Sus scrofa: one gene and its partners. The protein of the gene in region 2 interacts with the protein of the main gene of each other region in a pairwise test. Links are inferred from orthologs where the notes say so. Each region holds a gene or a part of one and is shown on either strand. Other genes may lie near its edges.

What was found.
Region 1: the proteins of EXOC5 (region 2) and RAB4B interact in binary tests that used the Homo sapiens proteins (3 or more experiments, as listed by UniProt). The two-hybrid records come from large-scale screens. The link is inferred for Sus scrofa from reciprocal best matches to the Homo sapiens genes EXOC5 and RAB4B.
Region 3: the proteins of EXOC5 (region 2) and DEUP1 interact in binary tests that used the Homo sapiens proteins (3 or more experiments, as listed by UniProt). The two-hybrid records come from large-scale screens. The link is inferred for Sus scrofa from reciprocal best matches to the Homo sapiens genes EXOC5 and DEUP1.

The regions. Positions count from the first base shown.
Region 1 is NC_010448.4:48,987,597-48,991,968, reverse strand, and holds the start of RAB4B (ras-related protein Rab-4B), read right to left. Parts: upstream 2,890-4,372; 5' UTR 2,649-2,889; coding exon 2,633-2,648; intron 1,190-2,632; coding exon 1,109-1,189; exon of another isoform or gene 825-1,108; coding exon 710-824; intron 1-709. Other genes in the region: MIA (melanoma-derived growth regulatory protein), read right to left, coding at 4,033-4,218. UniProt on the Homo sapiens protein: The small GTPases Rab are key regulators of intracellular membrane trafficking, from the formation of transport vesicles to their fusion with membranes.
Region 2 is NC_010443.5:186,399,084-186,402,732, forward strand, and holds part of EXOC5 (exocyst complex component 5), read right to left. Parts: intron 2,951-3,649; coding exon 2,803-2,950; intron 1-2,802. UniProt on the Homo sapiens protein: Component of the exocyst complex involved in the docking of exocytic vesicles with fusion sites on the plasma membrane.
Region 3 is NC_010451.4:25,831,286-25,834,934, reverse strand, and holds part of DEUP1 (deuterosome assembly protein 1), read right to left. Parts: intron 3,043-3,649; coding exon 2,929-3,042; intron 988-2,928; coding exon 745-987; intron 1-744. UniProt on the Homo sapiens protein: Key structural component of the deuterosome, a structure that promotes de novo centriole amplification in multiciliated cells.

The DNA of each region.
Region 1 (4,372 bases), on a different chromosome or scaffold from region 2:
TCCCCTAAGCCTGGCCGGGGTCTGGTCTCACCCCACCTTCTCCCGCTGGGCATTTCCCTCACTTAGCTGCCCGCCTCTGGCTGAGCCTCTCTTTTCTGTTTTTTGGCCACCCCGCGGCATAGGGAGACCCCTGGTCAGGGATCACATCCAAGCCGAAGTCGCAACCTAACCTCCAGCTACGGCAACACCAGATCCTTAACCCACTGAGTAAGGCCAGGGATGGAACCCACATCCTCGTGGATCCTCGGACTAATTTAGGCTGCACCACAGTGGGAACGCCTCTCTCTCCCTTTCTGAGTGTCTGTAGCTCTCTCTCAAGTCTCCCTTTCTGTTCTAGGCATCCTGTCAACCTCGAGCCCTCGCCCCACCCCAAGCACCTCCTTCTCTCCAGGCCTTGTTCCCTGGGATAGGTTCGTTCCTCCAGCCGCAGGGGTCTACCCCTCATAGTCTCCGCAGGGTCAGGTGTCCCTCCCGAGCGCTCTCACCCTTCATTCATTATGCTGCTTTCTCAATCTTTCTCTGTGTCTCTGCCTTCCTCTCTCCCAGACCCCTTCTTTCTCTGACCCCATGTACCTGCTCCTCACCATCTCTTTCTCCCTCCCTCTACCTTGCCTGCCCTCTCTGTGTGTCCTTGCTCTTATCACATGCTCTGCACGCCTCTCTCCCTCCCCTCCCCTCCCATCTCTCCCAAGGAGCCCAGCCCACCTACCGAAACCGCTCCTGGCCGGCTGTGTCCCAAATCTGTAGCTTCACAGTCTTCCCACCCACGTTGACCACCCGAGATCCAAACTCCACGCCGATTGTGTGGTTGGAGTCCTGTTTGACTGGGAGTGGGAGGGAGAAAAGAGACAGTGCAGGGGCTCAGAGGATTCCCTGCCCTCCAAGACCTCCCCAGCCCCTATGAACCCATCCTCTCTCATTGCTGGGGTGACTGAGGCTCAAGGAGGGCCTAGCAAAGCACATACACCAAGGTGAGGACCAGGTAGCCAGCACTGGCATTGCACCTATGGCCAGTCCTGCCACCTACCCACCCCAACAGCTGCCTACTTTGCCCACACCGTGCCCATGCCCGCAGTTTAGTGTTCCAGGACCACCCCCAGGAACTCACACTTATTCTCAATGAACTGATGAAGGAGACATGACTTGCCAGTACCCGCACTGCCAATCACCAGGAATTTGAAGAGGAAGTCTGAGTGGATGGAGCCAAATTCAAGGAAACCCATGTGGAGAGAAAGATAGACATGAAAAAATGGAAACCAAGAGAGCATCACAATTACAGGGAGAGCAACAGACACAGGCAGATATAGAACAATGGGTAACAAAGCAGTAAGAGATAATTCTTACACAGTGCTTCCCGCATACCAGGAACCCTTCTACAAGTCTTTACTTACATCAAGACCTCAACTTAATCCTCGGCAAAACTCTATGAGGAAGTTGTACTAATAATCACCCCTGTAACCAGATGAGGAATCTAAAGCCAGAAAGGTTACTGACTTGCCCAAGATCCCACTGCTAGGTAGAGCTGGCAAGGTAGAGCTAGGATTCGAACCCGGGCCAACTGGCTCCAGAGTCCAAAATCTCAGCTATTACACTGTTAAGCCTTTTTTTTTTTTCTTTTTTGTCTTTTTAGGGACACACCTGCAGCATATGGAAGTCCCCAGGCTAGCGGTCTAATCAGAGCTGCAGCTGCTGGCCACAGCCACAGCCACAGCCACAGCCACCTGGGATTTGAGCTGCATCTGCAACCTACACCACAGCTTGTGGCAACACCAGGTCCTTAACTTACTGAGTGAGGCCAGGGATCAAACCAGCATCCTCATGGATATTAGTCGGGATCTTAACACTCTGAGCCACAGCGGGAACTCCTGCTAAAGCCTCTTGAAAACCACTTTATCAGACTCAGCCTCCCCTCGCTGCACCCCATGATTTCATCTCCTATCACTTTCTTATTCATTCACTCCACTCTTGCCACTGGCCTTCAGTCTACTCCCTGAAGAGACGAGCTGGTTCTTACCTCAAGGACTTGTTCCTTCTGCTTTTCTCTGTTGAATGAATGCAGCTCCCTCTGACTCCCACACCAGAGTTCTCTCTACCATATTCTGTTCTCCCACGTCCTACCCATCCTTCTGGATTTTCCAACGCTCAGGATCTCCTTCCCGTTCTCTGCCCAAGGCCCCTATTCTCAAGTCCCACCCCTTGCCACTAGCCCCACCCCCTAGCTCAAGGACAGCTCACCCCCAACCACATTCCAGACACCTCGCAGAACATCCTTTCACAGTCCTTCCAGGCCTTCAAGCTTGATTCTTGTTATTCAGTCAGCCCCGCCCCATTCACTCAGGCCCCGCCCCGACACATTAAGGCCCACCCATTTCCTCAAGACCTCCACGATCTATCGCGACTGGGTTCCCCAAACCCGCCCCACGTCTATTTCGCCCACACACCAGACGCTCAGGCTCCGCCCAAACCTATTAAGCTCAGCCTCAGATTCACTAAACCCCTCCCAGCATCCACTAGGCCCTGCCCCATACAACCAGACCCCGCCCCCTGGTAATACAAAGCCCCGCCCCATACCCACAGGCCGCATCTCCCTGGGCCCAGACCCCAGACTCCCGCTTCCGCCCACCACCCTCACCGTAGGTCTCAGCCATGACTCGGTCGCGGCCGCTTAGGGCCGCAAAATGGCGACGCGGCCGCTCCTGGTCCTCGGTTGGCAGCCGCTCCACTCGGTCTGCAGCCCCGGCTCCTTCCTACTCCCGGGGCCGGCGCCGTCGCTTCCGCCTCCACCCCCCTCCGGCGCGACCCGCTAAGGCTGCGGGATACCAGGCCACGCTTCCCGAAGACAGGGATTGGCGGATTCGGCGGGCAAGGGGCGGGACAAAAGGCGCAGAATGGCGGGGCGAGAGAGGCGGGACGTAAAGGGGCGGGACCAGGGCGAGCGATTGGCGGCGTCAGTGGGAAGGGGTGGTGCAGAGTTGCTCCGTGGAGCAGAGAAATGGCTTCGGTCAGGAGACCAGGAGCAGACCTGAGATTCCAGATTGGGTAGAAGCTGACTTGGGGGCGGGGATACGGATGCAAAGAAAGGGGCAGGGTTAAGATTGACAGAGCCTGGAAGAGGTGCCGATCTCGAGCTTGGGAGTACTGATCTCAAAGGCAGAAGGATGAAAACTGGGATGGTTCTTACTCCTACCTCCTTTGACCAACAATCTTCCAAAAAAACATATGCCCCGCGATTACTTCCTCATTGCCCGATTGGCTCATTCCCAATAGTTCACTAGTTCTCTTACTGGTCAAGAGAGGACACTACAATTCCCTAATTTGTCTGTTTAGGTTATTCCGTCTTATTTGCCTGTGATATCTAAGCTGAGGAGCCTACCTCTGGTACCCAGCTTGGAGCTAAGAGCTTTTAGTCCGTGAAACTCTGCCTAGCAACCACTGACATTACTACATTCCGTGGGTTGACTGGCTAGATTCAGAAACCTGGAGAAACATTTCCTTTCTAGGTCCCTACCACAAAGACCACAGAGACCCAATAGTTGGCATTTGGCTGATGTATTTGCATAAAGCCGGCGAGAAACAACTGCAGAGACAGCAGTAGACTGAGCTTATTGGCAGTAGAAATCCCATTTCTGAAAAACAAAAAAGGGAAACAGTGGGGGGAAAACAGCAGTCACACCACAAAGGATCTAATGGTTTTAGCAAATGTTGCAGCTGTAGACGCCAGGTTTGTCCACCCAAGTGCTATGCAAATTAGCCTAGGGCCCTCTAATCTTTGCACCTCTTAACTGGACTAGGACTTAGACATCACTCACCATTTAACAGATTAGAAAAGGCAGGGAGGAGTTCATTTGTGGCACAGTGGGTTAAGGATCTGTTGTTGTCACTGCAGCAGCTTGGGTGGCTGCTTTGGCGGGGGCTTGATCCCTGGCCAGGGAACTTCGGAAGGAAGGAAGCAAAGAGGGAAGGAGGGAAGGAGTGAGGGAGGGAGGGAGGGAGGGAGGAAGGAAGGAAGGAAAGGCAGGGAATTGTCCCAGCTCATAGATAGGCTGCACTTTTGCCCATCATCACAACCCAAGGGTCCAGATCCCTGTTAGCCTCCAGGACACTCACATCTGTCTTCACAACGATTTTGCCAGGTTTCAGGGTCTGGTTTTCACGTACAACGCTACTGGGGAAATAGCCTAGGCGTGCAGCAAAGTCTCCATAGTAATCTCCCTGAACCTGGGGAAGAGGAGGGAAAAGCCAAGTGCCTGGGAAGATTCATTCCTGCTGAAGACCTCTGCACGCTCTTCTCTCTGATCTCTACTTGGCTGGTTCCATCCTTGTCATTCCAATTTTAGTTAAAGTCACCTGCTTGAAGGTCCTTCCTGACCAC
Region 2 (3,649 bases):
ATAAGAAAACAACCCTATTTTTAAAATGCACACAAAATAGCGCAGATAATATATATGGATAGTGAATAAGTGTATGAAAAGATGCTCATCTTCAGTCACTAGGAAAATGCAAACTAAAACCATAATAAGGTATCATTACACACTCTATTGGACTGTCTAAAACTAAAAAGACTAATGATACCAAATGCTGGAAATCATGTGGAACAAACAGAACTCTAACACACTGCTGGTGGAATGTTAAATGAAACAACTTTGGAAAACAGTTTGGCAGTTTCATAAAAGAATAATAATATGACATCATATTGCTACTCATGAGAAATGACAGTATGTTTGCATAAAGATATATATATGAATGTTCATAACAACTTCATTTGTAACAACACTAGAGCTAATCTAAACTGCTATCAATAGGTAAATGAATACACAAATTGTGGTACATTCACAAAATTAAGTAGAAATCAGCAATAAAAAAATACTAATTAATACACACAACATGAATGAATCTCAAAATAATAATGCTGAGTTAAAGAATCTAGAAACACATGTGTAAATTATGGATATTTTAATCCCATTTATTAAAAATTCTAGAAAAACAATCAATTTCTTGTAAACATCCTATTTAGCTTTGAATACTCAGTCCTGAAGTATCCCCCTTCTTTTTCAAAATTAATCTACAGTGAACAGATCAGTAGTTGCCTGAGGACAGACCCAGTGGGAGGGGGCAGGAAGATTTTAAAAGGGCAAAAGGAAATTTTTGGGGTGATAGATCTGATCTCGAGTGCATTTATAGCTTCACAAATGTACACATAATTTACCAAAGTTATCAAACTGTATAGTTTAAATATATGCAGTTTAATGATTGTCAAACTGTATCTCAAAGTTACTAAGTTTTGAAAAAGAAAGGAAAAAAACCTAATCTTTTTAATATCCTTTAAGCTTCCATCATCATCTATAAGGTCAAGTTCAAGTTTCTAAGTATGGTATACAAAGAGTTGTTGCCTACATTTCAACCTCCCATCTCATTACTCTCCCCATGTCTTTTTTTCCAGGCCCATCCAAAGCATCCAGGCTAGGGACCAAACCTATGGCACCAAGCCATAGTAGAGACAACACCAGATCCTTAACCTACTATGCCACTACTCTGAAGTTGTTTATCACACCCATGCTCATGTATACCCCTAAACAACACACTGTTTCACCTTTTATTATTTTATTTTATTTTTGGTCACACCAGCAGCATGTGGAAGTTTCTGGGCCAGGGGTCAAACCCACACCACAAAAGTGACCCAGGCCACTGCAGTGACAATGCCAGATAGTTAACACTATAAGGAAACTCCTTGTTTTACTTTTTAAAACTTTATATTGTGGTATACTGAACATATCTTTTCCCCATCTTAATCTTCTCATTCAACATTTGAAATTTACTCATGCTGATACATGTTGGTGTATAGTTTTCTACTGTATGAACAACTTCAGTTTGTCAATTCTCTATAAGGCACAGTTTGCTTCTAATTTTTCACCATGACAAACAACGTTGCTTTCCATGTTTGATATGTCATGTGCACCTATGAGTTTCTCTAAGGAATTAACAAATTACTCTCCAAAGCATGCCAATTTTTACTTCCATCGGCAATGTATGAGAATTTCTATTGTGTCAATCCTTACCAATACTTAGAATCAACAGGCCTCTTAATTTTTGCCAACCTAATGAGAATGACATAGTATTTTCCTATTTTAAGTTTCATTACCCAGAGTTCCCATCATGGCTCAGCAAAAACAAAAATCTGACTACTATCCATGAGGACCCAGGTTCAATCCCTGACCTCACTCAGTGGGTTAAGGATCTGGCATTGCCATGAGCTGTGGTGTGGGTCACAGATGTGGGTCGGATCTGGCCTTGCTGTGGCTTTAGAGTAGGCCAGTGGCTATAGCTCCATATGCTGTGGGTGTGGCCCTTAAAAAAAAAAAAAAGTAAAAAAAAAAGTTTCATTTCCTTAATAGACTGATTATCTTCTGATAATTTACATTTTCTGCATTTGTATAGTCTTTGATTTGTTTTCTATTTAATTATATGTATAACTACATTGATTTATTATCCATCAATATAAATATATACACCATATACATCAATACATATAAAAATTAAGACTGCCTCAACTCTCAATTCCATACTTAAAAGGATGCATCCCAGTATTTTCCTCTGTAAAATAAGAATAACAACCTCATAGGTTTGCTACAATGATTAAATGAGTTAATACATACTAAAATGCTTAGAAGAGTGTCTGGAACATAGTATGTGGTCTATAATTATTAGTCACTATTATCTGTCTCAAAAATCTTCTGCTAGTAATATTGGTTATAAACACCTTCTGGTAGGCTGTGACTTACCTGTTTACTTTGTTAAAGTGTGTTTGGCGAAGAAACTCTAAATTTTAATGGAGTCAATTTTTCCATCTCCTTTGATATCTGTGTTCTTAAAACATCCTTTTCTCCCTAATGCTCTATTTCTTTATGAGATAGGTCTAATCTCTCCCCCTTCATATCTTGATTTAATATCTCAAAAAAAGAAAATTTGATTTGCTCAACTTTAAAATAATACATTTTTTATAACTTGTAATATACTTCTAAGTAAGTTAAAACTAATTCTGTTCTCCAAAACAAAAATTTTATTTTATTACAATAAATAATTGTTCCTAACCAGAGAGCAGAGTTACATCTTAGTATAAAGAAGGCAAAAATTAAAATACACAACTATATATAAATAAAACTGATTTACAGTTACAATTTTACCATTACTCTTACCCTATGACATCTTTCAAAGGCTTGTTTGGTTTCTTGTAAAAGATTAACCACCACTTCTTGAGATAGGAAAGTCTCCCCATGAGTATCGATACTTGGCCCCAGTGGTAAGTTGGTACGTTGTCTAATTCTCTCTTTCAAATCTTGAATACTAGTGCATCATACCAACAAATGAAAAAGAACACTTTATAATACATAGATTTCAATTTCAAGTACTCCCAAGTTTAGTATACATGAACTAAAAAAAAGAAGGAAAAATGAATGAATAGCCAGGATACCTATGAGTTCTAATTTCAATAAGTAGGTTCTCTATAGTGAAACAAACATTAATCTCTAAACAGAAGACTTTCATCTGAAAAAAGGAGTAGATTTGGAGTTATGATCTCTACAGTCTCTTTCAGCTCTGTAATTCTGACTCAACAGCCAAAGCTCTTTGTTTGGTTTCCTTAGTAAGCGGGCTTTTCCGAGTAAGTTACTATTCTGATAACTAAATGGTCCTGCTTAAAACAAACTTTAAAATTTTAAAGCTTTTAAAATATACCTGCCATTTAAATACACATGCATTTCTCATTATCAAACAAGATACATTCTACATAATTTAGCTTTTCTCAATGATGAAGGGTCATTAAGAACATTTATTATATGGTGGTATCTTTAACCAATTTACTTTTTGGCTGCACCCACGACATGCGGAAGTTCCCAGGTCAGGTTCAAACCCATGCCACAGCAGTGATCTGAGTCACTGCAGTGACAATGTCGGATCCCTAAACTGTTGCACCACAAGGAAACTCTTATGGTGGTATCTTTAGGTTAGAATCCTTTTTGTTCCTAGAAAATATAGCTCCGGACT
Region 3 (3,649 bases), on a different chromosome or scaffold from region 2:
CCTACCATTTGGTAACTGACTATGAAAAGGTTAAAGCTGATATATCACAGGGAATGCCTCCCCTGGTCCCCACTGAGGTTATCAGATTGTCGAACCTTAAATGATTTCCTGGATCTTCATCCTAGGATTCCTGAGTCCAAGAGGCACAGGGTCAAAGAGAATGAATGATGGGGACACAGGGTGCTGTGTGGCTAAAGGGCTAGGTTTTTTAGGACTAGAGGTCTGTGAGCGACCACTGTTACACTGCACTGGCAAGATACTATTACACCACTGCAGAACACAAGTGCACCTGTTGGAGTAAAGTACCCACAGGATTACTAAGTTTACTCATCAAATGAGAGCTACTTGGTAAGAGAAAAGATAAGCTGAATTTATACATGTAGGAGTTCCCATCGTGGCTCAGGGGTTAACGAATCCTACCAGGAACCATAAGGTTGCAGGTTCAATCCCTGGCCTTGCTCAGTGGGTTAAGGATCTGGCTTCACTGCGAGTTGTGGTGTAGGTTGCAGACGTGGCTCGGATCTGGCGTTGCTGTGGCTCTGGCACAGGCCGGCCGCTAACAGCTTCAATTACATCCCTAGCCTGGGCACCTCCCTATGCCGCAGGTGCAGCCCTAGAAAAGACCAAAAAAAAAAAAATTATACATGTAATAAAAAATTAGCTTTCTATTCCATATACCTGTTGGGTCATCATTTATACAACTCATGGGCAGTTATCAATTAAAAATAAAAATAAATCTTTTACCTGGCACTGTCTTTGGTACATTTTCAGTTCTTGTAAGAGCTTCTGATTTTCATCTTGTAGCTTATTCCTGCTTAATGCTATTTCACTCACAGCTGATTTTAATTTTTCAATAATGAACTCATCTCTTTCAGTGGTTTCACAACTGTGATCTGGTTCACATAGCAACTGAGGAATTTCAGAGCTGCTGTCTTCCATGCCCTGTTTTTTACCATTTAGTTGAGTTTGGTAACTTTGTGCCTGTTTCTGAGAAATATGAAAATTGTGTCAGTTGAGTGGGGAATACAACACTTAAGCTTACATAAAGTTCAAGAATGATAGAGAAGAATTAGGAAAAAACATTTATATTATTAATGAAACTGTTCTTCATAATTCAGTCTTGTGTTTATTCTAAAACTTCAATTTCAGAGGGCATAAAGAGAATATATATTTGCATAAACTCAGAGCAAATATGTAGAGTAGGGTAGAGGACTTTGGGTAGGGAATTCTTATTTAGCGAAAAAGAAAATAGAGAAGATATTTAAAAAGGGGGGAAAATATGGATTCTATTACACAATAGTTGAAAATGTCTCTATGGCCAAAAAAATAAATAAATAAAATAACAAACAAGAAAACACGATGGACTGTAGGAAAAAGTTGTCAACACCTGTAACAAGGGTAACTTCTGGTACACAAAAACTTCTAAGAAAAAGACAACGCAAGAGAAAAGTGGACAATATTTATGCACAGGCAATTCACAGAAGAGAAAATGAAAAAGTCTAGAAACACATGAAGAGATGCTCAACATCACAAGCAGTCAGAGAAACACAAAGCGAATCAAGCCAACATTACTCTTGGTCCATCAGGTTGGTAAAAATCAAAGGACTGATCTTCTGGTGAGAGTCTGGGTAGTTTTGCTGGCTGTTGAGAAACTAAATTACTAACTTCTTTTAGGAAGTCATCTGCCAATATTTATTAAAAATCTGATTGGCCCACTTTCCATTGCCCGAATTTGCACTTGCTCTCTTGCCTCAGCAGCTTTGCTAACGTTATTTCCACCACCTGGAATACGTTCTCTCTTAGAACATATCCTTCCTTCAAGATCCTGGCCTAGTCCCACCCCTGCTGGAGGATGTTTCCTAAATCCAAATTTTTCTCACTCCTTCCACCTCTAAAAGGATTTGGATCCTTTCCTTTCACTTGTCATTAATTATCTGTAAACCTGTACATGTGTTATGTCTGTGTCTAGACTAAGCTTCTAGGGGGCAGGGACCAAGCAAATTTAAGACTTTCTAAGAGACTTGATCATAGGCATGCAAAAACATGTTATTTAATGACATAATAACAATGGACCTTTTTTTTTTTTTTGGTCTTTTTAGGGCTGACCCGCAGTACATGGAGGTTCCTAGGTGAGGGGTCGAGTCAGAGCTATAGCTGCCAGCCTACACCACAGCCACACCAGATCCTTCACCCACTGAGTAAGGTCAGGGATCAAACCCGTGTCCTCACGGATACTACTCAGGTTTGTTACCACTGAGCCATGATGGGAACTCCACAATGAACACTTTTGAATTGAAGTATCATTGATTTACAATGTTGTGTTAATTTCTGCTGTATAGCAAAGTGATTTCTTTTTAAATATTCTTTTCCATTATGGTTTATCATAGTACACTGAACACAGTTCTGAGCTGTACAGTAGGACCTGTTTATCCCCTCCATTTATAATAGCTTCTATCTGCTACCTCAATATCCTACTCCATTCCTTCCCCAACCCCTCCCGTGGCAACCACAAGTCTGTTCTCTTTGTCCGTGAGTCCGGTTCTGTTTCATGGATAGGTTCATCTGTGTCACATTTTAGATTCCTCATGTAAGTGATATCATGTAGTATTTGTCTTTCTCCGTCTGACTTCCTTTACTTAGTATGATAATCACTAGCTGCATCACATGTTGCTGTGAATGGCATTATTTAATTCTTTTTATGGCTGAGTGGTATTCCAACAATGGACATTTTTAATAAAACCATCTTCTGAGACATACAGACTAAAGTCACCATTACAGACATTTCACACCCTTGTAAACTCTACCCAGTGTTGGAACTACTCATTATTTTCCCTTAGTTGGCATTTCTATCTGCAGAATGGTAAAGAGGAATAATAGTATTTAACCTCTAATTTATTCTAATTTAGAGGATAGTATTAGATAATGTACCTGAAATTGATTACACTTCTCAGATAACAATTTTTGTTGAGCATCTACAGAAACCAGATGAGTCTGATATAATATCTCCTGCTTGTCCCATTCTCTTGACTTTGCTCTAAATTCCTTTTAAAAAAGTGGAAAGATAAATTGAAAAAATTATTCATTCCAAAGTACAGTGAACGAGGCTTCTTTCATTTGTACATCTTTCTTCTGAAGAAAAAAAAAATCCACCTTTCCCCATTAGGAGAACAAAAAGTATCAAATCACTCACTCTGGATTTACTAATTTATCTTCTAATTTTTGCTAGGAAAGTATGGGATTTAATTCATATTTTTAAAAAATAAGCACTTGTTAAAGATGCAAAAATTTTTAACAAACGCTGTTTACTAAGAAGGGAGTTGCATCAATCAACACTTCCTTTCTATTTCCTCAGCTGATATCCAAAGTTTTTCCCATCTTTTATTCTCTACACTCAGTCACCAAACCTGCTCTCTTGCTTTTGAGGGGGTGGGGCTTGGACTAATTTAGTGACTTTGTCCCCTGTGGCTTTCAAAGCTACTGTCCCAGGTGAAGCCAGATCAACCCATCAACAGAACAACCACCTCAGGGCTCCTTTAAGCAGCACCTACTGGGCTAAGCTGGGGAGGAAGTGGTAGAACTGCTTGATACAGCAGGCTTCTTGATTTTTGTCTAGGGCTGGCCATTATACCTTATCTTTCTGTTCAGACTG